5 linked regions of the Callithrix jacchus genome follow. The protein of the gene in region 2 interacts with the protein of the main gene of each other region in a biochemical or structural test. Links are inferred from orthologs where the notes say so. Each region holds a gene or a part of one and is shown on either strand. Other genes may lie near its edges.

What was found.
Region 1: the proteins of CEBPA (region 2) and CDK2 form a complex in vitro, tested with the Homo sapiens proteins (2 studies listed by BioGRID, with this or other methods). The link is inferred for Callithrix jacchus from reciprocal best matches to the Homo sapiens genes CEBPA and CDK2.
Region 3: the proteins of CEBPA (region 2) and SMARCA4 form a complex in vitro, tested with the Homo sapiens proteins (2 studies listed by BioGRID, with this or other methods). The link is inferred for Callithrix jacchus from reciprocal best matches to the Homo sapiens genes CEBPA and SMARCA4.
Region 4: the proteins of CEBPA (region 2) and PARP1 form a complex in vitro, tested with the Homo sapiens proteins (2 studies listed by BioGRID, with this or other methods). The link is inferred for Callithrix jacchus from reciprocal best matches to the Homo sapiens genes CEBPA and PARP1.
Region 5: the proteins of CEBPA (region 2) and TRIB1 form a complex in vitro, tested with the Homo sapiens proteins (2 studies listed by BioGRID and IntAct, with this or other methods). The link is inferred for Callithrix jacchus from reciprocal best matches to the Homo sapiens genes CEBPA and TRIB1.

Annotation. Positions count from the first base shown.
Region 1 is NC_133510.1:63,707,031-63,713,777, reverse strand, and holds the start of CDK2 (cyclin-dependent kinase 2), read left to right. Parts: upstream 1-2,411; 5' UTR 2,412-2,646; coding exon 2,647-2,762; intron 2,763-3,488; coding exon 3,489-3,566; intron 3,567-3,678; coding exon 3,679-3,799; intron 3,800-4,406; coding exon 4,407-4,577; intron 4,578-5,100; coding exon 5,101-5,202; intron 5,203-6,747. Other genes in the region: melanocyte protein PMEL, read right to left, coding at 1,272-1,347. UniProt on the Homo sapiens protein: Serine/threonine-protein kinase involved in the control of the cell cycle; essential for meiosis, but dispensable for mitosis. Phosphorylates CABLES1, CTNNB1, CDK2AP2, ERCC6, NBN, USP37, p53/TP53, NPM1, CDK7, RB1, BRCA2, MYC, NPAT, EZH2.
Region 2 is NC_133523.1:30,118,563-30,125,187, forward strand, and holds CEBPA (CCAAT/enhancer-binding protein alpha), read right to left. Parts: upstream 3,807-6,625; 5' UTR 3,684-3,806; coding exon 2,607-3,683; 3' UTR 1,197-2,606; downstream 1-1,196. UniProt on the Homo sapiens protein: Transcription factor that coordinates proliferation arrest and the differentiation of myeloid progenitors, adipocytes, hepatocytes, and cells of the lung and the placenta.
Region 3 is NC_133523.1:10,115,935-10,120,146, forward strand, and holds the start of SMARCA4 (SWI/SNF-related matrix-associated actin-dependent regulator of chromatin subfamily A member 4), read left to right. Parts: upstream 1-1,412; 5' UTR 1,413-1,690; intron 1,691-4,212. UniProt on the Homo sapiens protein: ATPase involved in transcriptional activation and repression of select genes by chromatin remodeling (alteration of DNA-nucleosome topology).
Region 4 is NC_133520.1:22,857,192-22,863,230, forward strand, and holds part of PARP1 (poly [ADP-ribose] polymerase 1), read left to right. Parts: intron 1-1,292; coding exon 1,293-1,507; intron 1,508-3,126; coding exon 3,127-3,226; intron 3,227-6,039. UniProt on the Homo sapiens protein: Poly-ADP-ribosyltransferase that mediates poly-ADP-ribosylation of proteins and plays a key role in DNA repair.
Region 5 is NC_133517.1:71,929,805-71,935,271, reverse strand, and holds the end of TRIB1 (tribbles homolog 1), read left to right. Parts: intron 1-1,517; coding exon 1,518-1,983; 3' UTR 1,984-3,915; downstream 3,916-5,467. UniProt on the Homo sapiens protein: Adapter protein involved in protein degradation by interacting with COP1 ubiquitin ligase. The COP1-binding motif is masked by autoinhibitory interactions with the protein kinase domain.

The sequences.
Region 1 (6,747 bases), on a different chromosome or scaffold from region 2:
TTCTTGTCCTGGTCTGGCTGTTTTCCCATGTACTGCTTCTGCTTTGTAACTGCTCTAGGCATTCCTCCTACTACAAACTACTATATGGTTATATAGAAAAATTATATAAATCAGCACTAAATGTGTTAGTACAGCTCCAACTACAATACCTACATAATTATATGGAAAGATTATATGGAACTAAGTATAATTGTATATATAAGCTAAATATAGCAAGCAGTAAGTTATACTTCAGGCACTAATTGTGCCTGGGGTCTGCACAGTTCTTCCTCGGTAACCACGGGGGGTGTTACCCACACAGAGTCTTGCTCTGTTGCCCCAGCTGGAATGCAGTGGCACGATCTTGGCTCCCTGCAACCTCCACCTTCCAGGTTCAAGGTTCAAGTGATTCTTGTGCCTCAGCCTCCCGAGTAGCTGGGATGACAGGCATGCACCACCATGCTAGCTAATTTTTGTATTTTTAGTAGAGATGGGGTTTCACCATATTGGCCAGTCTGGTCTTGAACTCCTGACCTCAAGTGATCCACCCGCCTCAGCCTCCCAAAATGCTGGGATTACAGGTGTGAGCCACTGCACCAGGACTCATCCCTTTCTAATGTGTGCTGTAACCCTAGTTGACTCTGCTGGGGGAGAATCTGGATCATCTCATTGAGCATCCTACCACTAAAGCAGGAGAAGTCATAAGATACCCTATTCTTTCTCCACTTCCAACTCTCCCTCCTCAGAGCAGCACGAGACATTCCAGACCCTCTCACCAACCACCCCCCTCCACCCCCCCTCCCCCGCTCCTGTCACGAGGCCCAATCCCCCAGAGCCTTTTCATGTGATGCTCAGCTGAGACCCCTTTGCCTATCTCTCTCTCAGTCCCAGAACAAAATTTCTGGGCTGTGTTCACCCGTACCCATCCCAAGAGATGTATCTCCTTAGTCTTCTTACCCAATACCACATTTTCTGACTCCCCACTTTAAATCCCCCACCCCAAGAGACATTTCATCCCTTTGGAGCCCCTGCTCCAGCTCACTGCCAAGGAAGCCTCAGAATCAGTGCCACAGACCTTCTATCCTTCGCCCCTCCAAGCATATGAAATTATTTTCAGGCTCAATCCCAAATCTCCATGTAGGGAGGGAGCCCAGGTGCCCACAACCTCACAAACCAAATAGGAGGGAGAAGCCTGAAATATTGCCAGTATCTCCCATTAGGAGGAGAGAAACCAGAGCAGGGGAATTCATCCCCAAGTTCACACTTGCTCATGTCCACATATCCGCACATACCTTTTGTAGCCCCCACAGCCAGTAAAGCACCTATCACAGCCAAATGGAGAAAGCACCTTTTCATCACCAGACGCATTGTGTTCTTCCCTCCAGCAACCAAAGACACTGAGGGGCTGGGATAGGCCCCTATATAAGAAAAGGGTGCTCATTTGCATAGCCCTTCCTCTTCTCCTTCAGAGAATGCCTGGGAGGGGCCGGAGGAGAGGAAAAAGAAAAAACAAACTGACAAAGGGAACCTGGGCCCTAGACATTGCTTTCCCATCCTGCTACTCAATGACAGTTTCTGGTTTCACAGGGTCATTCTCATCTTGATACACTCTCGGGCAAGAGCTGACTGAAAGGCAGCTGCATAACACATACCAGACACAACAGTTCATCATGGGAGAGTGAATTAAACCAGGAATTTCTCAAATAGACAGAAACAAGGGCGGGCGCGGTGGTTCGCACCTGTAAGTAATCCCAGCACTTTGGGAGGCTGACGCGGGTGGATCATGAGGTCAGGAGTTCAAGACCAGCCTGGCCAACATGGAGAAACCCCATCTCTACTAAAAATACAAAATTAGCCGGGCATGGTGGCACATGCCTGTAACCCTAGCCACTCGGGAGGCTGAGGCAGGAGAATTGCTAGAACTCGGGAGGCGGAGGTTGCGGTGAGCCGAGATCGCGCCATTGCACTACAGCCTGGGCAACAAGAGGGAAACTCCGTCTCAATAAAAAGGAAACAAAAAGAACCCTGCACCCCAAAACAGAGACAGCGTTGGGGTAGGCTATGAGGCGGAGGCAACGACTCTTCCGAGGCCAAGGAATCCTTTACAACGAGATCCCTGACTTCCTGCTTTTCAAAGGAGGCTCCTGGGCCAGGTGGAATTTAACCTTAAGTCGATACATATTTTCCCCGGGAGTGGTGGAAATAGTGAGTTAGAAATCAAGAAATCCCTACAGACTAGAAACATAGAAACTCGGACCCTAAGCAGGTACTTGGAAAGAGTGTTCAGCCGCCCCACCGGGAAAGAAACTTGTCTAGCCCCCAAGAACCAAACTTGCCTGGGGCGGGGTCATTTGCGGGGAGGAGCTCTGGGCTGCCCCCCCCGCTCTGACGTTGACCAATAAGAAGGTCTGGGGGCGGAGCCAGGGAAACGCGGGAAGGTGGGGCGGGGCCTCTGGTGGCGGTCGGGAACTCTGGGGGAGGCGGCAACATTGTTTCAAGTTGGCCAAATTGACAAGAGCGAGAGGTATACAGCGTTCCATCCCGACGCCGGGCCACGGTACTGGGCCCTGTTTCCCCCTCCTCGGCCTCCGAGAGCTAGGGACCGCCTTCTGCAGGGTTCCCAGGCCCCCGCTCCAGGGCCGGGCAGACCCAACTCGCTGGCGCTTCATGGAGAACTTCCAAAAGGTGGAAAAGATCGGAGAGGGCACGTACGGAGTTGTGTACAAAGCCAGAAACAAGTTGACGGGAGAAGTTGTGGCGCTTAAGAAAATCCGCCTGGACACGTGAGTGGCCTCTGTACCCGGGACTCCTAAGGGGACCTCCTTAACTGTGCCCCCCAACCCCCCACGGGCGGGTAGCGGTCCAGCGACCGGAAGAGAGCAGGGAGGGACTTCTTTAGAAGTAGAGGGGTGGGTTGGGGGCCTGTAGAAGGTGGAGAGTACAGGGTGGTGTAGAATCTATGGAAAACTTTCTTCTCAAACTGAGCCCGATGGCGTCCCCAAATTGTGCGACCACAGAGACTCGGGGAGAGAAAGGAGGCCTCTGAGATGAAGTCCAAGACTCTCCATGGAGTTGAGTTATGTGGGAACAGACGAGTAGCGCCTTTCTGAATGAAGAGCCCTCCTCACTGCCCCACCCTCACCTAAGAATTCTCTCCTCTTTCCAAAGAATGGCAGTTGAACCTCACTGGCCCCTCTGGGGAGGTTGGGTGCTACTCCTGCATTTTTAAATTTATTTTTTATTTTCTCACCCGTTACAGTCTCCCTGCTTTACCTTCACCAGGCAGCTTTACTTACCTACCCCTGGGAAAAGAGGAGATAATGACCTTAATATGTCCAAAAGCCACACCCTGACTACCCAGGAATTAGCTCCTTCCAGCACCCTTTCTCTTCTCTCACTTTCCTAGGGGGTGCTGGGTGGTGCCTCCTTGGGGGAAAGAAATGACTGGGAGGGGGAAAAAGGAGTGTTTGTAACCATATTCCCATCTCTGTTTTCCCAACCTCTCCAAGTGAGACTGAGGGTGTGCCCAGTACTGCCATCCGAGAGATCTCTCTGCTTAAGGAGCTTAACCATCCTAATATTGTCAAGTAAGTATGTGTCTGAGAGTAGATCCAGTTGGAAAGAAGGATGAGTTCTGTCTGTACAGTGTGGCCATTTCTCTCTCTCGCACCTCCATTTCCTTGACCTTTCCTTCTCTAGGCTGCTGGATGTCATTCACACAGAAAATAAACTCTACCTGGTTTTTGAATTTCTGCACCAAGATCTCAAGAAATTCATGGATGCCTCTGCTCTCACTGGCATTCCTCTTCCCCTCATCAAGGTAATGCTTCTCATCAGCTCCCCCCTATCATGGACGTGTCTTGGGGGACTGATGGCAGGCAATTCTGGGTGATATTTTATGATCTTGGCCTTCTTCTGAGCCCTCATCTACTACACACACACACTCCCCTTCTTTTTGTGTCTTCTTCCCTGCTCATTATACTCATTAACTCCAGGGTTGGACTGAAGAATCAAAGTTGAAACTCTAGTGAGTCAACCTAGCAACTCAGGTGGGAGGTCAGATGAAACTCAGATAAATGGGATTTGAGAGCACCTGGTAAATTCCTCCAAAAAGCCCTTCTGTTTGGTGGAAGAACTAGCCAATGAGTCTATTATCTATTTTAGGGCTGGATTCTTCACTCCCAGAGCTACTTTGAATCTATTAACAAACATTTATTCAATGCGCAGCATATAGAAAAGGAATGCAAAGTTGAGTAAGACTTGCTCCTTATCCTCTCTGGGCTGACAGTTTAATGGGAGAAATACCTTGTAAATATGTAATTATAATCCAACGCAGTAAAGGCCTTAGTAGAACCATGGGGGCGCAGAGCAAACCCAATCTGCTCATTGTGGTGAAGAAACACAGTCCTCTCTTTCTCCTTTGTCAGAGCTATCTATTCCAGCTGCTCCAGGGCCTAGCTTTCTGCCATTCTCATCGGGTCCTACACCGAGACCTTAAGCCTCAGAATCTGCTTATAAACACAGAAGGGTCCATCAAGCTAGCAGACTTTGGACTAGCCAGAGCTTTTGGAGTCCCTGTTCGTACTTATACCCATGAGGTGAGTCCCTTTTTGCCTTTCTTCTCTGAGTTTCCCAAGAGGTGTTAACTAGGGCATTCACAAAGTTACTAAAAATATCTGGCCAACAGTTTCTTACTAGGTAGAAGTAATCTCTTGACATCCTAAAGAGTCCTAGGGTATGCATGGAATTCATACTGTGTTGCTAACTGGGCTCACGCCTGTAATACCAACACTTTGGGAGGCTGAGGTGGGATAATCACTTGAGCCCAGGAGTTCGAGACCATCATGGGCAACATAGCAAGACCACTCTCTACAGAAATAAAAAATCAAATAAAATTATGATGACCATTTGTCTCAAGTTTTTCCAGAAAGATCTCAAATTGGGGTTTCAGAAAACATGGTCTCCAGAACTATGGACTGAAAATCAGTGGGAGGGCAAAGATGGAGGGAAGGAAACTGCTTGTTAAGAGGCCAAGAGTTAGCAGAGTAATGCTGAGGAACTGAGATTTGGGACTCTCTGTACCCTATAAACCACCCCACCCTCCCTATTCTTGTCCCTCAGGTGGTCACCCTGTGGTACCGAGCTCCTGAAATCCTCCTGGGCTGCAAATACTACTCCACAGCTGTGGACATCTGGAGCCTGGGCTGCATCTTTGCTGAGATGGTATGGAGGCTTGCCCAAGTTCCACCCAGCCCCGTTCTCCCCACATCCAAGAACAACAGAACTGTTCTTGGCCCAGACCTATGATGCTTCTATCACAGGGTTCTCTTTCTAAAGTAGCACCAAGGGGAATGGTGAGGAAAGGATGCAACTGTTACCCCAATATCAACCACAATGTTAGGATATCCAACAACAGCCTTAGTACCTAGTATACATCTCTATCCCTGAAATGAGGTAAAACATTTCTGCATCTGTTTTAACCATAGTCTGCATATATTTGGGAGAATGATTCCATTTAGTGCCTCTTTTATTTTAGGGCTTCACTTCAAGGCCTGTAGACCTTGTTGTATGGTGCCAGGAATGTAGTGAAGCCAGTTGTGGTCACTTTGTTCACACCCTTCATTTAAACTGCAGATTTAGACAGGGCGCAGTGGCTCATGCCTGTAATCCCAGCACTTTGGGAGGCTGAGGTGGGTGGGTTGCCTGAGGACAGGAGTTCAAGACCAGCCTGGCTAACATGCTGAAACCTCATCTATACAAAAAATACAAAAATTAGCCGGGTATGGTGGTACAAACACCTGTAATCCCAGCTATTTGGGAGGTTGAGGCAGGAGAATCGCTTGAACCTGAGTGACGGAGGTTGCAGTGAGATGAAATCGCACCACTTCACTCCAGCCCAGGTGACAGAGCGAGACTCCATCTCAAAAAAAAAAAAAGATTGGTGGGGCATGGTGGCTCTCGCCTGTTATCCAAGCACTTTGGAGGCCAAGGTGGGCAGATCACCTGAGGTCGGGAGTTCAAGACCAGCCTGACCAACATGGTAAAACCCCATCTTTTTTTTTTTTTTTTTTTGAGGCGGAGTTTCGCTCTTGTTACCCAGGCTGGAGTGCAATGGCGCGATCTCAGCTCACCGCAACCTCCGCCTCCTGGGTTCAGGCAATTCTTCTGCCTCAGCCTCCTGAGTAGCTGGGATTACAGGCACGTGCCACCATGCCCAGCTAATTTTTTGTATTTTTAGTAGAGATGGGGTTTCACCATGTTGACCAGGATGGTCTTGATCTCTTGACCTCGTGATCCACCCGCCTCAGCCTCCCAAAGTGCTAGGATTACAGGCATGAGCCACTGCACCCGGCCCTAAAACCCCATCTTTATTAAAAAAAAAAAAAGATTTAGATCACATCCCCTTTCAACCTCTGGCTTTTCAGACTGAAGGATCCTTGAGGCCTGGCCTTATGTAGAAGCTCCCATCTCCTTTAATACAACAGCGCAGTGCAGTAGGCCGAGGCTTCAAATCAGCAATGTTTTATGGTCCTTTATCTGTGTTGTAACCAAGAGCTTAAAGACCCTTAGCCTATACATATGTAATGTGCATTTATCCCCCAAAGCATTACCTTACAATTGCCCATATTCCTCTCTCAATTCATCAAAAAATATTTGTTAAGCACCTAGTGTGTACCTAGCACCATGCTAGGTGCTGTGGGGAACACAGAAGAAATGGAAGACAGAGTCTCTGCCCGCTGTGCTCCTATCTAGAAGTGGCTGCATCAC
Region 2 (6,625 bases):
CTCCTCTGTTCCCAGGGTGGTGGGGCAGGCACCGCCTCCTCACTGGGCTCGTGGCCTCTCCTCTGCCAAGGGCGGCAGTGGGTGAGGAGGCGGCCAGACACAGGACAGAGCAGGGGGCCGGAAGAGGTGCCAGCTAACCACGAAGGCAGGTAAAGCTAAGCTTCCAGAGTATATAAAAGGGACGTGTAACTTCTCGAAAATGCTCTAGCCTGCACTGGCACATACAGTAAGCCGCTTAGTGAACACTGTCTTGGTGCAGTTAAAAAAAAAGCGCAATTTATCTTTTACCCTCCGAGAGGGTAAAACCCAAAAAGCACCATCAACCTCCTGGGCTGCTTCCTCCCGGGCCTTGTTAGTTCAGAGATGAGGGCTGCCCTCCCTTGCTTGGCTGTCACTGCTGTTAAGTGGATGCCAGGGTGCCTGACCTTAGAGGGTGCTCGTCAGAGTTGGGGGCATGCCAGCACTCAGTCCCCTGATGGGTCAGGGATGAATGCAGTGGGCAGTGTGGATGCTGGGGCAGTTCCTGAGCAGCCAGTGTGTGGGGCAGGGCTGGATTGCTGTTGCTGGTCTGCCTCAGTCTCCTTTACTGTGAGGGCTGGGGCAGGGCAGGTGTGGAGGGCTGGATGGAAGGGTCTCTCTCTTCAAGCTGCCCTGGGGGCTTCACAGGGTAGGGTGTAGCCACATGGTCCAGGGAAAGAGGGGAGGGTTAGAGGGTCCTACCACTGGAATCCTCTTCCTGCTGGCCAAGGGTCCTGTTGGAAGCTGGAGCTGCAGTGGGTATGAGTGAGGCACTGGAGCCGAAGGTGATTTGGAAGGAAGTCTGGACAAAGGGTGCCTTGAGCCTGGGGCTGCTGAGCTCAGGCAGAGGACTTTCTCTTCTCCTCCCAGGGGCAGATGAGAGGCCTCGCCAAGACCTCAGCCCTGTAAACCCCACCATGGCCCCCTCCCATGACTCCAAGAGACTGCCTTCAGGCTCTGGGCATTCTCCATTTAGAGACTTGTACTCTGCTATTTATTTGTCTTGCCTGGGGAAGTAAGTCCCTCCCCACTTAGGGTAAAGAGGGGCTGGGGATGGATGGAGAGCTCATGAAAGTCAGGATGGCAGCCAGGGAAAATGCTGTATTATTTACAAATGTGACCTGGCCCACAGACAACCTTGGAAGCAGCTTCTTTCTGGTTTTAAAAAGACACCGACATTGACTTTGATATGTTTATATTATAGATATAATACATAAAACATCTAGGGTGAGACTCTATGTTCTCCGCAAAAGAAGAGAACAAAGCCGTCCTTCCCCGCTCCCAGCCTCAGTGATGTGTTGGCGGGAGGCCACCTCCCTTCTCCACTAGGAGCCAGGGCCTCTGGGGGACAAGCCTTGCGGGCAGCCCAGGCTGGAGGGGCCAGGGAAAAGCTGAGGGCAAAGGAGAACACCCCTCACCTCATTGGTCCCTCAGGAGCCAAAGTAATCCCAAAACTAAAAGGAAAGAGTCTCAGACCCTTCCCCCAGCTGCCGACGGAGAGTCTCATTTTGGCAAGTATCCGAGCAAAACCAAAACAAAACAAAAACCAAATAAAATGGTGGTTTAGCAGAGACGCGCACATTCACATTGCACAAGGCACTGCTGGGGCACAGAGGCCAGATACAAGTGTTGATATCGGCTGATAAAGCAAAATATTTGGAAAGCTTGTCATAACTCCGGTCCCTCTGGGATGGACTGATCGTGCTTTGTGTTCCTATGGCAATGCTGAAGGCATACAGTACAAACAAGGCTGAGGGTCCCAGTGGCCCTTCACCCCCTACAACCGTCTCACGCAGGGGCCAGATCTCTAGGTCCCCTCTCTCCCATCAGGGGTATACATCCTCAGAGCTGACCCACGATCTAGCTGTCTGGCCTGACTGGGGGTGGTGGCTCCCACTGGTCACCTGGTGACCCCCATATCTCAGTGAGTTCCGCCCCAGGGGGAAGCCCAGCCTGTGGCAGGCTGGGGTGGGGTGTGTGCGGAGGGATGGGAGAGGTGCGGAACAAGAGACCCTCCACCTTCATGTAGAATCAGCGGAACAACCTTAGGTTCAAAGCCCCAAGTCCCTATGTTTCCACCCCTCTATAAGAAAGGCGCCGAGGAGCGGCTGGGGCTGGCTGGCTTGTAGGGATCTCAGCTCCCTGAGCCCTCCTCCTCCCGCCACGGGCCGCTCCCTTCCTTCTCTCATAGGGGCCTGCTGTAGCCTTGGGAAGGAGGCAGGAAACCTCCAAATAAAATGACAAGGCACGATTTGCTCCCCCTACTCGGTAGGCATCGGAGCAGAGAGTTTACATTTCCAAGGCACAAGGTTATCCTTAATACTAGAGTACCGGGCTCCCAGCTCAGCCCCAAGAATTCTCTCCTCCTCGGAGGGAGAAGCCACCGCCTGGCCCCCTCATCTTAGACGCACCAAGTCCGGCGCAGAGGAAGGGAGGGGACACGCGGAGCAGGCCAGGCTTTCAGGCGGCACCGGAATCACCTAGTCCTGGCTCGCACGTCCCGAGCAAGCCTCGAGATCCGGCGACCCAAAACCACTCCCGGGGTCCCCGCCAGAGGCTGGCCCAGGGCGGTCCCGCAGCCGCGCGCCTCACGCGCAGTTGCCCATGGCCTTGACTAAGGAGCTCTCTGGCAGCTGGCGGAAGATGCCCCGCAGCGTGTCCAGTTCGCGGCTCAGCTGTTCCACCCGCTTGCGCAGGCGGTCATTGTCACTGGTCAGCTCCAGCACTTTCTGCTGCGTCTCCACGTTGCGCTGCTTGGCCTTGTCGCGGCTCTTGCGCACCGCGATGTTGTTGCGCTCGCGCCGCACACGGTACTCGTTGCTGTTCTTGTCCACCGACTTCTTCGCCTTGCCTGCGCCGCCGCCGCCACCCGCTCGGAGGTCGGCGTGCGCGGCGCCCAGCCCCTTAAGCGCGCCGCCTGGGCCCGGCAGGCCGGCGGCGCCGAGCGCTGGCGCGGGGTGCGGACTGGGCACAGGCGTGGGCGGCGGCGTGGGGTGACCGGGCTGCAGGTGCATGGTGGTCTGGCCGCAGTGCGCGATCTGGAACTGCAGGTGCGGGGCGGCCAGATGCGTGGGCGGCGGGTGCGGGTGCGGGTGCGAGGGCGGCGGCGGCGGCGGCGGCTGGTAGGGGAAGAGGCCGGCCAGCGCCAGCTGCTTGGCTTCGTCCTCCTCGCGGGGCTCCTGCTTGATCACAAGCGGCCGCAGCGCCGGCGCCCCGACGCGCTCGTACAGGGGCTCCAGCCGGCCGTCCAGGTAGCCGGCGGCCGCGCACCCGTAGCCGGGTGGGGGCCCATGCGCTCCACCGGGCATGACGGCGCCGCTGGCGCCCGCGGGCGCGCCGGGGTAGTCAAAATCGCCGCCGCCGCCGCCGCCCGCGGGGCCAGCGGCCGCCTTGGCCTTCTCCTGCTGCCGGCTGTGCTGGAACAGGTCGGCCAGGAACTCGTCGTTAAAGGCGGCCGGGTCGATGTAGGCGCTGATGTCGATGGACGTCTCGTGCTCGCAGATGCCGCCCAGCGGCTCCGGGGCGGCAGGTGGGGCGGGAGGTTGCGCGAGGCCAGCGCCCCGGGGAAAGCCGAAGGCGGCGCTGCTGGGCGCGTGCGAGGGGCTCTGCAGGTGGCTGCTCATCAGGGGCCGCGGCTCCACCTCGTAGAAGTCGGCCGACTCCATGGGGGAGCTAGAGTTCTCCGGGCATGGCGAGCCTCGGCGGCCTCCAGCCAGCGCGGGGCGCCGCCGCCGCCGTGCACCCGGAGCCCCTGCTCGCCCGCGCCCGCGCAGCTCCGGGTCGCGAATGGCCCAGCCCGCGCAGGCCCCGCTTTTATACCCTGCAGTCCGAGTCGCCCCCTAGAGTCCGAGGCGGCCTCTGTCCCCTGGCGGCGGCGGCGGCGGCGCGGGGTCCGCTGGGTCCTAGCGCGCAGACGGAGGGTGGGGGCGAACCAGCGGGGCCCAGCGCGGCGCACCACAGGCAGGCTGAGGCGCAACGCCCACCGCCTCCGGCTCACCCAGCCGGGCCGCGGCGCTCGCTCCAAGCTCCGCCCCGGGCCCGGCTGTCGCCTCCGCGCCCACGTGGTAGGTGGCTGGGGCCCCCTCCTCCGGCCTTCCCTAGGCGCTCATATCCAGCCGTGGCCGGGAGCCCTGGAGCATCCCGAGGTTGCACGGGGTAGGGGTGGAGCGGGGCGGAGGGCAAGTCTTGGTCTCGAGCTACTGTGGTGCGGACTCGCTTTCAAAGCTTGAACCAGGCCAGGCCTGTCTGGGACCCGTGTCCCTGGGAGGCTGCGGCGCTGAGCGACCGGGCCGGCGGGGGCCAGTGGGGGGTCGTTTGGGACGCGCGGAGAGGCCCGGAGCGCGGTGACTCTGCGTCTCCTAGCTCTGATCTGCAGGCGACCCCTGTGATTCCGCGCAGAGGCACCTCTCCGAGGACGCCGGGATCCCATGAGCGGGCGCCGCAGGGCGCTAGGACCCCGCGGGGAGCAGAGGCGGCCCGGGAGTCTGGAGGATCTGGCCGGTCGATCCGCCCCGGCTGGAAAACTTTCTTCGTAATTATTTCTCCAGCCCGGAGCGCTCGGCTGCCTAGGCGCGCGGGGCCGGCGCTACTACTCGGCTTGGTGTTGCTGATTTTTTTCTTGCCGGATGGGCGGGCTCCCGGGACAAGCTGAGCTGGACGCCGGGGCGAGCACGGGGAGGGGCGCACCGAGGGAGGAGACTAACTTAACTCCCGGCCGGGATCCCTCGAGACGGGGACCGTAGCCCGCGAGGCCCGAAGCCACGGCTTCCTCCCCCAACTCCCTGTTCAGGTGGACGCCTACGGCTGGAGCGAGGGTGTCCAGGTCGCCAGGTCCGAGCACCCACAGGGAGAACTCTGCCCTGTGGTTCGCTGGACGCTGGGGTCCCCGGGATCTTGGGTGCCGTGGCCGCCGGGCCCTGGAGCCCCTTAGGTGCGGCACGCTGACCCTCTCACCGCGGCGGGGGAAGGAGCTTGCTACAGAGACCCCCAGCCATGTGCGTCCCTCGCTTTCTTTACCGCAGCCGGGGATTGCGGACTGTCAGCTGTCAGTCCCCGTTGCGGACTGTCAGCTGTCAGTCCCCAAAGACCCCGTTGGGGCCCTCAAGTGTCTCCTGCCCCTGCCCGCGCCGCCCGTCGGGACTGGCGCTGAGGCCAGACGCCGCCTGGGTCCCGGCTAGAGGCTCGCTTGCCTTCAGGTGAGGGAAGACCCCTTCGCCGACTGTGGCCTTCTTAGGCCTGGCAAGGCGCCACTACCCGCCCAGGAGCCTCCGAGGGGGTGCAGTTAAAAACACTGCTGGAGAGGCTCCGAGCTTCCATAGCGATTGCAGTAAAGAAGCAGTTTCATCTGGGCAATGCACACTGTGCTTTAATCAAGTTCCTATTCAACATATTCCCAGTGATTAATAGCCCAACTGCTTCGTTTTCGGTCCAGAGCTCATAAACAAGATATTTTTAGCTTGACGCTTTTGGACGGGAGGGAGTAAAAACTAGATAAGTTAAATAAATAACCCGATCTGAGCCGAAGAGCTGCTTGCTGAGCCAAATACAGGACCGGTTCATACACCATCCACCTGTGGAGGGAGACCTGGACAAAATCAAAAAAACACCCAGAGCGACTTGCATTTTTTATTCTGCGGTGCTAAAACTAATGGCTTTTCCTAGGTAGTAACAAAGAATCTCCACTGTACATGCACGATTCCTGGCCCGTGCAGTGCAGGGAGGAAGGCCATGTCTGGCCTCTTTTGCACAGCTTGCTGTTGCCTGCCCAGAGATCAAGAACTCTGCCGCTTAGGGCCGGAAGAAACCTCAGTATGGGGATAAGATTGTCCAATAAGGGGCTGATGAATGTGTGGGGGTGAAAATGGCAAGCAGTGGGGCTCCCCCCCTGGGAGTCTCCAACCCCAAGGGCCCTAGGTCCTCCTACAATTGAACCAGAATTCACCCACCCCGGCCTGCCCTGTGCAGGGTGCTGAGAGCCCAGGGATGCGTGAGAAGGTGGTCCCTGCCTCTGGGAACTGGGACAGTGGGAGAGACTAATAAAGTGTCACACAGAGGCTGCTGGGAGGAAGGAGGACACAGAAGGAGTAGGGGATGAGACCTCATTCATTCATCAAATGCACAGGAGGCACGAATGGGAATAAAGGGTGGATGTGCTGTGATGAATAGATGCCCTGCCCTGAATAAGGTGGCGCTGTGGAGGAGGCAGAGATCAGATCTGTCTGGGGAGGTCCTGTGGATGGAATTGTGTCCCTGCCCCAAATTCCTATGTTGAAGCCCTAACCCCCAATGTGACTATTTGGAGATAGGCCTTTTAGGAAGTAAAGTGAGATGAAGTCATAAGGGTGGGTTCCTAATTCGATAGGATTGGTGGCCTTATCAGAAAAAGAATGTCACAGGAGCACACCGAGAGGAAGTGGCCGTCTGCAAGCTGGGAAGAGGCCCCTCACCAGAACCTGACAGGGCTGGCAGCCTGGCCTTGGGCGTCCAGCCTCCAGAACTGTGAGAAATCAGTGTTTATGGTAGGTCTATTATGGTAGCCTTCATGGACTGAACCATGGGGTGAAACAGGGCTTCATGCAGGAGCAGACCTTTGAGCTGGGCCTTGAAG
Region 3 (4,212 bases), about 20 Mb from region 2:
GGTCTCTTTATTCAGAGCATGCTTAAAAGAGACCAAGTATATTAAAAACAGACAAAACGCCGGGTTTGGTGGCTCACACCTATAATCGCAGCACTTTGGGAAACCAAGGGGCGGATCACCTGAGGTCAGGTGTTCAAGTCCAGCCTGTCCAACATGGTGAAACCCCATTTCTACTAAAAAATGCAAAAAATTAGTCGGGTGTTGTGGCAGGCGCCTGTAATCCCAGCTACTTGGGAGGCTGAGGCAGGAGAATTGCTTGAATCTGTGAAGTGTAGGTTGCAGTGAGCCGAGATCACCACTGCACTGCAGCCTGCCTGACAGAGCAAGACTTCGTCTCAAAAACAAACAAAACAAAATAAAAACACAGAGCGGAGACCAAGAGGCTCAGGGCCTTCAGTCTCACAGGGTTTCTTTTCCTCACTGCCGGCATGTCTGCACTCAAACGTGTTCTCTGCAATGACTGCTTCTCTGGCTGCCCTATTTAAAATGTCCACGATCCTCCCAGTCTCCACCTTACACTATTTTTTTTTTTTTTTTGAGACGGAGTTTCATTCTTATTGCCAAGGCTGGAGTGCAATGGCGCGATCTCGGCTCACTACCACCTCTACGTCCCGGGTTCAAGCGATTCTCCTGCCTCAGCCTCCTGAGTAGCTGGAATTTCAGTCGTGTGCCACCACGCCCCGCTAATTTTTGTATTTTTAGTAGAGACAGTGTTTTGTTATATTGGCCAGGGTGGTCTCGAACTCCTGACCTCAGGTGATCTGCCCCCGACAGCCTCCTAAAGTGCTGGGATTACAGGCATGAGCCACCAAGTTTGACCTCTCACACTGCCCTATTTCGCTCATTAATCTTGCTTCTTGTCCTCCTCCCCAACTAGACCGTGGGCTCCACGACGGCTTGGACACAGCAGCAGATCAATCAACATTTGCTAAGCTAATTAATGGCACTAGGGAGGTTTTGCAGAGAAGGCGACCACGGTCGGGCCCCACCCGGCCTCGCCAAACAGGCCCCGCCGCCCCGGCCAGGGATCAAAGCGGTTCCCCCTTGGCCCGCGGGAAACCACTGCCCGGTCTAGGCCCAGCTCGCCCATCCTACGGTTCAAGTTCCTATTTTCGAGTCTCAGGGACCTCCCTTCCCCACGGACCCCACTGCCACCGGACTCCCTTCCCCCAATTAGCCCGCCAGAGCCCTCGCCGCCACCGCAGTGACGCCCGCTGTGCGCATGCTCTGGGGCGATAGGACGCGCGGCGTGCAGAGGGCAAAGCTACCCGTGCGCAGGCGCGGGGCTATAGCGGCCCCAGTGGGGCGGTGCGTCGGGCGCTCGTGCTTCCTCCTGGACGCGCCCACCTCTGTCAGCCTAGGGGCGGGAGCGCACGCGCGCAGGGAGCGGAAGGGCGGACTGGCGCGCGCACGAGGCCGGGCGGGCGGCGGAAGCTGGAGAGGCCGTCCGCGGAGCTGGGGGAAGGGGAGCCAGCGAGAGCGCGCGCAGCGGGGGCGCGGGCGGCGCGCGCGTGTGTCTGAAGGGGGGGCGGTGGCCGAGGCGGGTGCGCGCGTGAGGCTTCCCCTCGCTTGGCGGCGGTGGCGGCGGCTTCTTTGTTTCGTGAGGGGACGCGAGACGCTCACTCTGCCCCCGGCCCCGCGCGGAGGGGCGGGGGCGGCGCCGGGAAGGCGACGGCGCCTGCCGCTCCCGGTAAGGAACGCGGGCCGCGGGGGCAGCGCGGCGCGGGGCTGGGGAGGGCGGTTTGAATGGAGCCGGGCGCTGAGGGGGGAGGGGGCGACCGGCGCGCCCGGTGCGGGGCCAGGGTACGGCGGCGCCCGAGGATCAAGAAGCCCGGCCGGCAGCCGCGCGCGTGGGGAAGGCCACAGCATCGCGAGGCCGCGGCAGGGACGGTCCCCGCGGAGCGGCGGGCGGGTGGGGGACCCGGGCCGCGTGGAGGCCGCGCGATCCCCTCCGCGCGCGCTCTCGCCGGGGTCGCGGGACAAAGCTCGCCCTTCTCGTCCGGCACCCCCACAGTCGCCCTCCCAATTTCAGCGCTTGCAACAATAGGCAGGCGTTGGGGCTTTTCTGGCTGCGTGGTAACGGGTCAGACCCTAATGTTGCCTTTTTGGCGAAGCTGCGATTGGGGCTCAGTAGCCAAACCTCCAGATAACGTCCGGCGTCGACCGGACACGGGCATTGGCGACCCCCTTGGGCTAGCCGACCTCAAATTGTCTTAAAAACGCGTCATTCCAGATTTTCAAGGAAAGGTAAAGGACTCCTCCAATCCCTTGGAATTAGTGACTTCAGAATGTTTGCCCGAATTGGGGTTGGGGAAGTTTGGGGATGGGGTCGGCTGCAAGTAGGGGACCGCGGAGGAAATCGTTTGCTGTATAAAAGCAGTGCTTAGGTTTTGCATCCTTTTTACTGCTTCCCAATTGGTTTTTAAGGTGAAGGCTTTTTTCTTTTTCTTTTTTTTTTTTTTCCTTCCAACGTGGACTTTTTAGGCGAGTGTTTTGTCCCTGTCTTGAAGACACCAGTCTTGATTTTTTTTCTTTTGGTCAGTGACTCCTTGGGGAAAGTGCAAAGTGAGTAAGTGGAAAAGACACTTCGCAAGAATTTGAAACAAGTTTTCAGTTTGGATTGATAGGGTGCATTCAAGTTTGATTCCTGGTGCTGTCAGTCACTTAGCACACTGTCACTTTAGGGAAGTGGCTTAACCTCGCTGAACCTCTTAGTTTTCCTCCTTTGTGAAAGGGGGTAACCTCACAAATGGAATTGGTGAACGCCTGTGAAATGGTTCCTGGCAAGTGGGAAGCGATATTGTTACTGTTTGGTCCAGTGTCCCTTATTGTTCAGCAAATACTTGTTGAGGCCCTACCGAGTGTTGGATGGTCGGGGGTTGGCTCCTGGAGTCTCTGCAGTCTTGGAGGGTAGCAGGTGGTAAATGCGGGAAGAAACCCTCCTGGCCTGTCATTTAATGCTTATAACTTGCACTGTGAGAGGGATGCAGCAGACATGCAGGGAATGAGTGGTAGCTGGAGATCATGGGGGCTGCCTGGAAGAGGGGGCCTCAAAATCAGGGAGGATAATAGGATTTTTTTTTTGAGATGGAATCTCGCCTGTTCCCCAGGCTGGAGTGCACTGTCCCAATCTTGGCTTACTGCAGCCTCTGCCTTCCGCGTTCAAGTGATTCTCCTGCCTCAGCCTCCCAAGTAGCTGGGACTACAGGCGCCCATCACCATGACTGGCTAATTTTTTAAATTTTGTATTTTTAGTAGAGATGGGGTTCCCCCGTTTTGGCCAGGCTGATCTCACACCCCTGACCTCAGGTGATCCACCCATCTCTGCCTCCCAAAGTGCTGGGATTAATATGTGAGCCACCTCACCCGACCAGGACTGTGTTTTGACTTTCCCTGGCCACCTTGGGCTAGCCATTGTTCCCCTCAGTTACGCTCACACATCACCTTGGTCCTTTCTCCTGTAGCTGTCACCACCAGCACGGTGAGAGCTGGGACTGTGTCTACCTTGCTAGCCCCAGAGTACCCTGGGCCTGATGCATAGCAGGTCTTTAGTGAATATCTGTGGATTGAAGGAGAGGGTCCTGTGGAAGATCGTGTGAGCATTTTTGTTCAAGGCCTGGTACAGGATCGGGTGCAGTGGCTTTGGGCAGTCCCAGCACTTTGGGAGGCTGACGTGGGAGAATTGCTTGAGACCAGGAGTTTGAGACTAACCTGGGCAACATAGAGAGACCTCATCTCTCCAAAAAATACAGAAATTAGCTGAGTGTGGTGACAGGCACTGGTGGTTCCAGCTACTTAGGAGGCAGGGGTGGGAGGATTGCTTGAGCCAGAGAGGTAGTGAGCCAGAGGCTGCAGTGAGCCATTCTTGGGTTCCTGCATTCCAGCCTGGGCGCCAGAGTAAGACTGTCTTAAAAAGAAAAGAAAAGAAAAAGCCTGGTACAGGACTGGGGATGGATTATAAGGGGTTCACGTTAGTTGTTTGTTTTTGAATTTTCCAAGTCATTGTTTTCCCAAACCTCAGTTGTCCTCCTCTCCCCTATGATAGCGATAAGGAGTGCTTATTCTGTAATCTGACCTCCTGAATTCACACCCGGTTCTCTAAATCCTAGCTTAACCTCAAGCGAGGTGCTTAGTACTAGGGCCCCCCACTTGTGAAACAGGTAGGACGAGGATGCCTGAAACTTCACAGGCTTCTTCTGAGGGTTGAATGAG
Region 4 (6,039 bases), on a different chromosome or scaffold from region 2:
GACCCAGCAGTAGCTGGGGAAGAGACTCTCTGTGTTTTATGGTAGAATTAGGTGTTGGGCGTGTGTTTGCCCTGATATGAGCCTCCAGCCCTCTTCTGTTTAATCAAAGGAAATTCATTAACCAGGCTTTTCCACCAGTTCTAGTTCCTGAAGGCTGACAGCCAGTTAGACAAAATGGACAGAGACACTGGTAGAAGGGAAAGCTTGTGCCCTGCAGCCTTCTCACCCTTCTCTAATGTGACATGCACATATTAATTGATTCATATAAGGCATTAATTGAAAGTTTCTGCCTCCTGGAGGCATTGTACAGAAAATTGAGGTAAGCAGTGGGTATTTACAAAAGAAAAACATGGAATTGCTTTATCTTTTCCAGCTACCTTCAGCCACCAAAAATTTAAGGCAAACATTAAGATCCTCTTCACCTCAAGGGGAATGCTGGGTGGTATGTGCTGCTGGGTTGCTGGTTTTATGTATTGTCAGGAGCTTGCTGTGCTGCATTCTCTGGGTTGAGCCTCTCAGGCATGGAACTCTCCTGGGAATATCAGGCCTGGGGATTGGGGACCTGCGCAGGTTGGCAGGACTGGATTGTTGCCTGTGGGTTTATTACTCCTTCTTAAGGAGTGTCGTCTCTAAAGAGACTGAGGCCATTGGAGGGTGGGGGTGGACAGAAAATCCCTGCTAGTACAAAAGTGCTGCATTGGGGGCTGGGTGCGGTGGCTCATGCCTGTAATCCCAGCAGTTTGGTAGACTGAGGTGGGAGGATTGCTTGAGTCCAGGAGTTCTGGATCAGCCTGGGCAACATAGTGAGACCTCGTCTCTACAGAAAATTAGCCAGGCAAGGCTGAGGTGGGAGGGTCGCTTAAGCCCGGGAGGTGGAGGTTACAGTGAGCTGAGTTCAAGTCACTGCACTCTAGCCTGGGCAACAGAGCGAGACCCTGTTTCAAAAAATGAAAAGAAAGGGCTGCATTGGAATCCCATGCATGTGTGCTTTTATGCCTGCCCCAGGTCAGCAGAAACATCTTAAGGGGAATGTTAGCATTTCTTCATATGTCCAGACAGGTAGGTAGGTAGCCAGCCATTTGGATTTAAGGAACCCTGAGTCTTGAGGGTAACACACAATCCTTGAAGACCTGAGCGAGCCAAAACCTCTCAAAAGCCCATGAGTCCTCAAGTTGTCATGCAGGCCTCGGCTTGGACCTGCAGCTCCTCACTGGCTGGAGCACAGGCTGCCCCATCATGTTCACCATCATTCCTCGTCACTCCCTTGGTACCACATACGGTTTTTCCTGCAGGGCCAGATGCGCCTGTCCAAGAAGATGCTGGACCCAGAGAAGCCACAGCTAGGCATGATTGATCGCTGGTACCACCCAGACTGCTTTGTCAAGAACAGGGAGGAGCTGGGTTTCCGGCCTGAGTACAGTGCAAGTCAGCTCAAGGGCTTCAGCCTCCTTGCTACAGAGGATAAAGAAGCCCTGAAGAAGCAGCTCCCAGGAGTCAAGAGTGAAGGGTGGGTGGAGTGCCGCGGGGTTGCCTTGAGGGTTCAGTGAGGGGCTCGAGGGAGGTCTGAAGGCTCTACAGGTTCCACACCACTCCTGTGTTTTCCTTCGCTACTGTCAGTAAGCCAGGGAGATGCAAACTGAGGAACGGTGACAGCAGAGATGTTGGGGCAGAGGACAGGGTAGGGAAGGATAGCAGGGGGTTTCCATGGGCCGAGAGCCTTCTGCCCTGTGAGACCTGCTTCCTGGTGGTCTGTTCCCTGTCCAACATCTGATCTCCATGGACAGGCTGACTACACTTTCCCACGACAGCCCTTTAGATACTTAAAATACCACCCTCCTTCCCTGGGCAATTATTCATTTTGCCTGGGTTGATCTCTAGGAACGATGCTGGGAGAATTCTGACCATTTTTAGTTAGAGGGTAGGCAGTGGATAATTTTCCTGGCTTAGAGTTCAGAATGATAAGGATTTTGCATTGTGATAAAATTTAGAATGGGAAGGCCCATCAGTGACTATCTTGAATCCATGGATGCCTCTTGCTCTCCAGTTAACCCTCTGCTGGTCCCTCAGCCTCAGTTTGGAGAATTGCTTGTTAACAAGCACACCAGGGGTGGTGTGGCAGGGCCTAGTATGCACCCTGCTCCTTGGACAGCGACTGGGCAGCCATCAATCAGCAATCACGCTATCTCAGTTCATAACACCTGTTCATTGCAGCAGCACTTGTGGCTCCAGAATGTGCAGGAAAACTGAAAGATCAGGCCATGGGTCAAAAAGCCCACAGGGCATTGCAGCACGTGATACAGGTGTCAGGAGTTCATCAGCTCCCACTTAGGCCATGATAACCAGCAGAATATGTGGAGCACGTTTTGTATGGCAGGCACTGTATCAAGCCCTGTATTTGGGCTGTTTCATTTGCCCATCACCAGAGTTCTGTGAGGCAGATGGTATTCTTTACCCTATTTTATGGGCAAGGAAAATGCAGAGTTTGTGCTCAGGTCTATGTGATAGCTGAGACTGACTCCAGACCACTGTGGCTGTCCTGCCCCTGTGCCTGGGGTCAGCTGGTTAGCACTGCTTTGACTGTCACTTCTTGTCTGGGTTTTACATAGCAGTACAGCCCTACCTCTGCGAGCAGCTTCTTGGCCTTGCAAGCAGCTATGTGTTTTAGCTGGACAGGCTTAGCCTCCTTGCACTTGTGCTTTGTCTTTCTGCAGTCGGTGTCCCTTAGCCATGGGCTTATGTTCAGCCTAGTCCCTGCTAGAACCTTCCAGGCCACGAGATACGTGGGTTTGTTTTGTTTTGTTTTGTTTTTAAAACCTCAGACAGGGCCAGAGCCGTGGATTCTTATAATGGGTTGTTCTAAATCCCTGGAACAACCCTAGCCCATCTCTTTGGCTGGGAGAGTATGTTCTGAAATGGATGGTGTCTCCTGCTGTCCTGGTTGCAAATACTGCCTGAGTAGACAGTGATTGTCTGAGACCATTGAGTGGGGCAGGGGTTGGGGAGTGACAAGCGTGAGCAGGCCCTACAGGGAGTTGATAAAATGACAGGAAGATACTGCATCAGCACAAGTCATTGGGTATCATTTTTAATGACTCCGGCTCTTTCTCATATCCCATTGTCCTTCAGAAAGAGAAAAGGCGATGAGGTGGATGGAGTGGATGAAGTGGCCAAGAAGAAGTCTAAAAAAGAAAAAGACAAAGATAGTAAGCTTGAAAAGGCCCTAAAGGTGAGTTGTCAGCTCCTTTCTCCTTTCGGCATTCTGCTGTCTGGATTCTCTCCCATTCCGGGAAGACAATTCAAGCAATTATGTCCCACTTATTAAGGCCTTTAGCAAATTGATAGCTGTCATTAAATAGCATGGCTTTTTCCCCAGATTGTTTTCCCTCGTCCCAAAGAAACCATTTTTATTTGGAAGAAAATCCACATTAGGCTGTAGATGTCTGGCATGCAGCCAGGCTTGAGCAAGGCCTGAGTGCTCTGTTCCCACTCACCAGCCTCATACCAGATGACAGAGATTCATGCTTCTGCCAAATTATACACCACTATACATCCTGCACCTTCGTGGTCACTTGCAAACATCAGAAAGTAAATACTAAATTAAAGGATGCCAAAGATTCCTAGCATAGACAAATGGCTTGAAGAGATCAAGTGTCTCCACATTTTTTAAATGAATATCTCTCATTTTTAAAAAAGGAATAGATGCATGATAACGACAGGAGAAAACTGTCCATTATATCAGTGGTCCGTGACCAGAAAGTTTCATCCCTGTGTTGATTATGTATGTGTTGAAGCAAAGCAAAAATTATTAATCAGACAATGCTGGATTTGGAAATTGGGGGAGAACAGTTGGTCTCTTCTTGAGAACATGATTTCCATGAGCCATCTGCTTGTGTCTCTTGTATGAATATTCAGCTTTTACTGATGGTAAGAAAATTAGAAGCAATTTCTGATATGGCTCTAGTTGCTAAAGAAGAGTCACACATTTTGTTCAATTGTCTTACAGTAAAAAAAGTGTCTGTCATGCCCCAAAACTGGCTGCAGAGAACCGTGGTGCCACCTCACATTGGCCATTCAGTGAATTTAGTACTCTTCCCGAATAATGGCAGAGATGTTTAGAGTCAGAAAATTAAAATATCCCTCAGCATCCCCACCCTGGCACATCTGTGTCTTCTGGCTCCCCATCCTTGGTCACCTAGGTGAGATTGTACTTCTTCCATTTAACCTTGTAGCTCTATACCTTTTCCTCATGCTCCATGTCTCTATTCCTGGTGTCCCAATCTGCTGTGTGTGATGGAGAGGGGAAGTGAGAGAGCCCTTAAAAATGAAGCTAGGAAACAGGTGCAGACGTGTGTCTGCAGCTTTGCCAGTGGAGTTAAAAATCCTCTTTTAATAGCAACCCTATGGGCATGATAAGGCTGGCATTTTTGTCTCCTTTTTACAGAGGTGGGATCTGAGCTGAGGTGGTGAATAACATGCCCGTTTTCCTGGGGAAAGAGGAGACTCACTTCGTCTTTAAAATGGGGAGGCTGATACCTTCCTCAGCAAGCTTGATTGTTATGAGAATAAATTAGATGAGGCCGGAAGCCATGGCTCATGTCTGTAATCCCAGCACTTTGGGAGGCTGAGGCAGGTGGATCACTTGAGGCCAGGAGTTTGAGACCAGCCTGGCCGACATGGTGAAACTCTGTTTCTATTAAAAAAAAAAAAAAAAAAAAAAAGTTGGCCAGGCGGGGTGGTGCATACCTGTGATCCAGCTCCTCAGGAGGCTGAGGCAGGAGAATTGCTTGAACCCAGAAGGCAGAGATTGCAGTGAGCTGAGATCATACCACTGCACTCCAGCCTGGGCAACAGAGCAAGACTCCATCTCACAAAAAAGAAAAAGATAATGAGATGACACATAAAAGCATCCAACCAATAGTAGGCACTTAAAGATTAAAACTTTCATAAATGGTGTGAAGGAAAAAGAAAAAAAAAAAAAGAGAAAGGGAGAGAAAAAACAAGACTCAGTCAATAAATCCATTCAACAGATGTTTTCACACTGATGGACGGGCCTGTCTGCCTGGCTAAGGAGCAGGTGATGGCAGGAGGCCTGTCAGTTTGAACTGATTGAAAGAAACAGACCTTTAACCTCTAGAGTAACGTTGACATAGACTCATTTCCTACCTAGATACCAACGTTTTGATTATAGCCCCAGGACTGCCACACAACATTGGAGAACAATTCAACTGCTTTCAAACTGCCAGTGAGGCTTAATTCTGAAAATTCTCTCCTGATTTTATTTCAGTGAATATTGTTCGTGAATTCTATGGATGCCTCTACAAATGACCAATTACACAATTATACTTTGACACCTGTCAGTCTTCATACAGTCTTCATATATTGGTATAGAAAAAAATGAGTATTTCAAAAAATGATATGTTGAAATTATATGTTATACATACATAGTTTGTATGATATAATTTCAACACTATAAAATTATTTTTAAATATATTATTAAATATATCCTCAGTGATTTAACACTGTTATTATTCTTCATCCTTCCCAAGTTACTGAATCAGTGAACCATAGTTTGGAAGTTTATGGAAGATTCACTTAGTCTCTTTCTCTGTCTCCATAAAAAGATACTCTCAGACACATAAGCAGCTTAGTTAATCATCAATGCTACACAGAGAGCTTTGTCCAAAAAAAAAAAAGTATATGTTTCAAAATATATATTTAAAATATATATTATTTTTTAAAATTATTAATAAAAATATCAAAAAATTATATACTAAAAAAATTAAAACTTTCATTTTCAGAAGAGCTTAAATACATGATACTAAATATAATAGACCATCAAGGAAATTGGTGTTTGGGAATCAGTCCTACTCTAAGATTGGTGAAGAACAGCCATACGCTGCCTCTAGTTGCTGATAAATGTGGGCCCTGGGCTCAGCCTAGTACTTCCAGGCTCTTAACTTTGTCTCCTAGGGCTGGGTTCTGAGGACTGGTTCCGTGAGCCTAGTGCAATTTTCCCCACACTCTTAGGGCTTCCTCCCC
Region 5 (5,467 bases), on a different chromosome or scaffold from region 2:
AAAGCATGAGTTGGTATCTGACCTCGCAATAATTATTGGAACATACTGATTAGCAAAGCAAAGCAAACTGTTGGCAGTGAAGAAGTTTCTAATTCCTAGAATATGCTCCTTTGATACGGTGATGCACTTTCTGAAACATGCCTTACACACCTCCTAACTAGCTTTTGAAATCCGCATTGCACAGGCGAATGTCATGGGCATGGGGTTTGGCAACCTGAGGGTTAAGCAATGTCAGGCTGACGCTATTCATGTAACCAGCACAGGTGCAGGGTTTTAGTGCTGTAGCAGCCAATCATGGGGAGACAGTGTGGGTTGAGTCATATTTTCCGTTTACAGAACCAATGGGTATTTTACATAACGACAGGGAGGTCACGCTGAGGACATACTGAAGTTAGCACATGTATACTACACTCCAGGGAACAGGAAGGCAGGAAGAAAAAAAAAATACCAGACCTTTGAGAGGAAAAGGAATTGACCCATCAGCCAGTACCAAATGTTTGCATTTAACTTCACTAGTGACTTACTGAAACAGGGCGATTTCAGAGAAGCAGGCAGAGGCAGGGTGTCACCAGATATTAGAGCTTTCCCACCTGGCTTTGGGCTTTGGGGAATCCAGGAGACATGGGTGGTTGGTTCTGAATCAGGAGGCACCTGCAGCTTCATAAGAGAGCCTTTGACTGAGGTTTCTGGGACTTTCGTAGTTACCTGAAGACAGACGCCCCTGTAGAATAAATATGCCCACATGTTAATGTGCCGTCGAGGGGAGTGTGTGTCCCTATAGAAGAATTTCCGGGGCCCTGCCTCCCTGAAATCCCTCATACTTTTGTTTGTGGGCATAACCTCTTTGTCCAGGCAAAGTGTTCTTTGCAGTTAAACACCCCAATAAATGTAATTAACATTCCTTACAACTTTCCCATCATAATTGTCACAGCCTGGGCCTAGGTGGACAAAGTTCATTCTGCGTGCGTGTATCAGTGTGGGCACCCGCGCTGAAAACCTGTGTATGTAATAGCAGTGACTTTAGGCTCCGTGTTCTGTAATGCAGTGTGGGTCCAGGGAGCCCCGGCAGTTAGCGGCATAAGAGAAAAGATGGGCTCGTAGGATGCTCAGGCCCTCCCTGAAGAAGCAAGATCTGCTGCTCTTCCCTGATAGCTTTTGTAGAGAACGCAGCACTCCCCTGAGACAAGCTCCCAGTTCTGCAATGCGAACTTAGTAGATTGTGTAACTCCTATTAGGATATCTCTTGTAAGCTCTAGCATTATGAATACTATTTGGGGCTTTGCATCATACCCTCCACCCCAGGCGCTCTGTCGATACTTTGCAAACATGTATTGCAGTTTGTGTTGGTTTGTGAAATCACGAGTCCCCAGCAGTTGCAGGCGCTGCTTACTGGATGAAGGGGTAAATAGCATTCCTTGAGCCTTTGCTGTTAGTGCCTGTGGGCGCTGTTATTGGGAAGGCTTTGTTTTTCATAGCAGCTGGTATGGCAATAATGGCTCGGTTCCTCTCTCTTGCAGAACCCAGCTCAGACTAGAAAGTCTGGAAGACACACACATCATCAAGGGGGAGGATGATGCTTTGTCAGACAAACACGGCTGCCCAGCCTACGTGAGCCCTGAGATCCTCAACACCACCGGGACCTACTCTGGAAAGGCTGCGGATGTTTGGAGCTTAGGGGTGATGCTGTATACCCTTCTGGTTGGACGATACCCCTTCCATGACTCGGACCCCAGTGCCCTTTTCTCCAAAATCCGGCGTGGACAGTTCTGCATTCCTGAACACATTTCCCCCAAAGCCAGGTGCCTCATTCGCAGCCTCTTGAGACGGGAGCCCTCTGAGAGACTCACTGCCCCCGAGATCTTACTGCACCCCTGGTTTGAGTCCATCTTGGAACCTGGGTACATCGACTCAGAAATAGGAACTTCAGACCAGATTGTTCCAGAGTACCAGGAGGACAGTGACATGAGTTCCTTCTTCTGCTAATCCCCAAAACCTCAGAAACCTCATAATTCTTACACCTGGTATTTCCATTTCTAAAGATGGACAGGCCCTTTGGCATGGTATCAACCAGATAATGACTGCGTTAGGATGAAGGCTGCTGAACTCGGCATGGCGCCACCTCTTATCTGTTGGGAGGAGTGACTTTACTGATGTGAGCGGCATACGCTGTGATTGGCTGCCCTGCAAAGTTATTTCTCTTAAGGAACTCTCGCCAACTCTCTGCTGGATTTGGGAGTTCCGCACCTTTTACGGATGGCAGGAGTATGGACATCCTACACCCGGTGGTCAAGTGTGTCATAAACTCGAGCATTTGAATGGGAGAAAAAGCAGATCGTATGATGACATATTTTGGGCAATAACCGTATTTTAACAGGGTGACACATTGGGCCGTTCAGTCTGCCATCTTTGAACTCATCTCTGGTAGCTAGACGTGCTACCGCAGCTTCTCTGACGGGAAGGTTCCTTTTTTGATTTAACACTCACCCATTCTTCACACTCACATTCAATGACTCTGCTCCGTTTTTGGAGCAGACCGTTTTAAGTTGCTCAGGAGCTGATGGAACCATGAACCCAGACTCTCCTCTGTTTCCTGCCAAGACCACATCTGCACTAATGCCTTCTCCCTGACCTTGACACTTTCCCCCTCTAGCTATGAAAGCACTTACCAGCCAAACGTGGACAGCATCGCAAAAGATTCCACCTCCCCACGATTTCAGAACTCTGAGGTCAGACAGAGAGACTCCAGATTTTAAGAAATAATATGAGTGCTTGGAAACTATTTGCTTTTTAAGTTCCTTCTAAATATGTTAGTACCTACCCTTTTTACCCACCCTTTACTTTTTCCCCAAGACCATCTCAGGGTGGAGCGTTCTGTCTAGGAGGAGGAAGATAAGGAGGCTCCTACCCACCTCTCCCAAAAGCAGACATTAAACATCTCTGCGCTTTGAAGAGAGTGAATTTCGGATAGTCTTCTGATTCTCAGACTAACTTCCAGAAGTACACTTAAGCCCTCCCAGACATGGTCCGCCTCTGGCGTTGTGTGTGCAACTGCAGTTTTGCATGATGGGTTGTTGATATTTCAGATGTGTGGTTTATGAATATATCTGTATAATCGGCTTCTGGAGCGAAACAGCAAACCCCAAATCTTTAAAGTTGGAAGGGTCTTCAGCAATCATCCGGTCCAATCTCTTTCCTCTTTCTGCCACCTCCCAAGGCAGAAATCCCCCCTTCAGCTTCTTTCGTAGGTGGGAATCCAGCCTCTGTTAGATACGTCCAGAGATGGGAACTCACTCCCTCCAAAAGACAGAGCTTTAATGGAGAAACTATAACTTCCATTAAAAAGCAAGTTCAGATGAAATATCAGTAACTGTCTTGGACAGTGCTGAAATCAGGTGGTTAAACGGGTAAACAAAAACATACTGTATTTTGAGAAATGGCACAAACATAGGCAGTCATCCTTAAGGGCTACGCCTAGGCAAACTACTAACATGCATTGTGAGAATGCCGTGTATACCTCACGTACTGTGTACTTTGTAATACATTTTACCTTTTATACCTGTGTCCGATTTGTTGTGTTTTGTTCTGGCTTTGAGGCTTGTTTTGTTGTCTGTGTCTGTCTGAATCACCTGCGTGTCTAAAACCACGTGAAATGTGAATGATTATTGGCAATATTACCTTGACAGAATCATGGGACTTGGAGAAGTGGGGACAGAGGCCTCTGTCTATAATGCTCTCGTGGTTGCTCGACTGTTGTATCTGTGATACATTATCCGGCTAAGGACGCTGGGTTGGCAGGGGCTTCTGCCGGGAAAGCTAGAAACACTAGGTTCTTCCTGTACATATGTGTATATATGTGAACAGTGAGATGGCCGTTTCTGACTTGTAGAGAAATTTTAATAAATCTGGTTTCGTAAATAGGTGTGGTGAATTGCTTTCGAGTTCAATCTGCTTTGCTTTATGCAGCTTCACCCAGAGGTTGCAAAGGTCTCCGGCCTCAGGGCTTACCATCTGGTTGGGGATGGGCAGCAAGGGGAAGGTGGAAGAGGAGACATGTTGATGGTGATCAACAGTGACCTTTGTCGGACTTGAACCCATTTGCTTTTGTCTTTCCAGTGGGCAGATTTATTTTGATGGGATGGAGTCCATTTGGTGACACCAAGTTGGTGGGTGCTTTGGATTAGATTTAGACTCAAAAAACATTTTTTATTTTTATTTATTTATTTATTTATTTATTGAGACGGAGTTTCGCTCTTGTTACCCAGGCTGGAGTGCAATGGCGCCATCTCGGCTCACTGCCTCCTGGGTTCAGGCAATTCTCCTGCCTCAGCCTCCTGAGTAGCTGGGATTATAGGCACACACCACCATGCCCAGCTAATTTTTTGTATTTTTAGTAGAGACGGGGTTTCACCCATGTTGACCAGGATGGTCTCGATCTCTTGACCTCGTGATCCACCCGCCTTGGCCTCCCAAAGTGCTGGGATTACAGGCGTGAGCCACCGCGCCCGACTCATTTTTTATTTTTTTTATGCTCTCTTTATTTTTATAAGACAGGGTTTCATTGTATTAGCCGGCTGGTCTTGATCTCCTGACCTTGTAATCCACCTGCCTTGGCCTCCCAAAGTGTTGGGATTATAGGTGTGAGCCACCGCGCCCAGCCTATTTTTTATGCTCTAAGCAGAATCAGAATCAAGAAATATTTGAAGATGAGCATGCATAAATTAACCTTGAGTTCTAAAAATCAACTTGTCTGTTTTGGGCCATGGACCCCTGGGAATTTGAGAAAGCTGAGAACAGTGTCACGTGCATAAAACAAAATTTTGGATTGGCTGCCGTGGCACATGCCGGTAATCCCAGCCCTTTGGGAGGCCAGGGTGGGCAGATCATGAGGTCAGGAGTTCGAGACCAGCCTGGCCAACATGGTGAAAACCTGTCTACTAAAATACAAAAGTCAGCTGGGCATGGGGGTGGGCGCCTGTAATCCCAGCTACTTGGGAGGCTACGGTAGGAGAATCGATTGAACCTAGGAGGTGGAGGTTACAGGGAGCTGAGATCGTGCCACTGCACTCCAGCCTGGGCGACAGTGAGAGTCTCAAAAAAAAATTTTTTTTTTGTCATTGCAGCGCTTCACACAGATCTCCGAAGGTATCCTGGGACTTCGGATTGTGAACCAATCCCCTTTCATTAGACTTAATTAAAATGGCTAAGCAAGGCATTTTCTTTCTTTTACTTTTTTCTTTAAGTGTAAAAGAAAAATGGAAATGGAAGCAAGGAAAATACTGAGCTGTCATTAATTTGAATCACAAAAGTAGAGAAAGGAAGAGGGTTATTGATTGAGTTTATAGCTTAACTATTTATAGCTTCACTTCAGAATCTATTCTAAATTAAGAAGGAAATTTGCATCCAGATTGACTTTTAAAAATACTTCACACTGTAAAGTGTAACAACAGAAAAATGCACAAATGTTCAC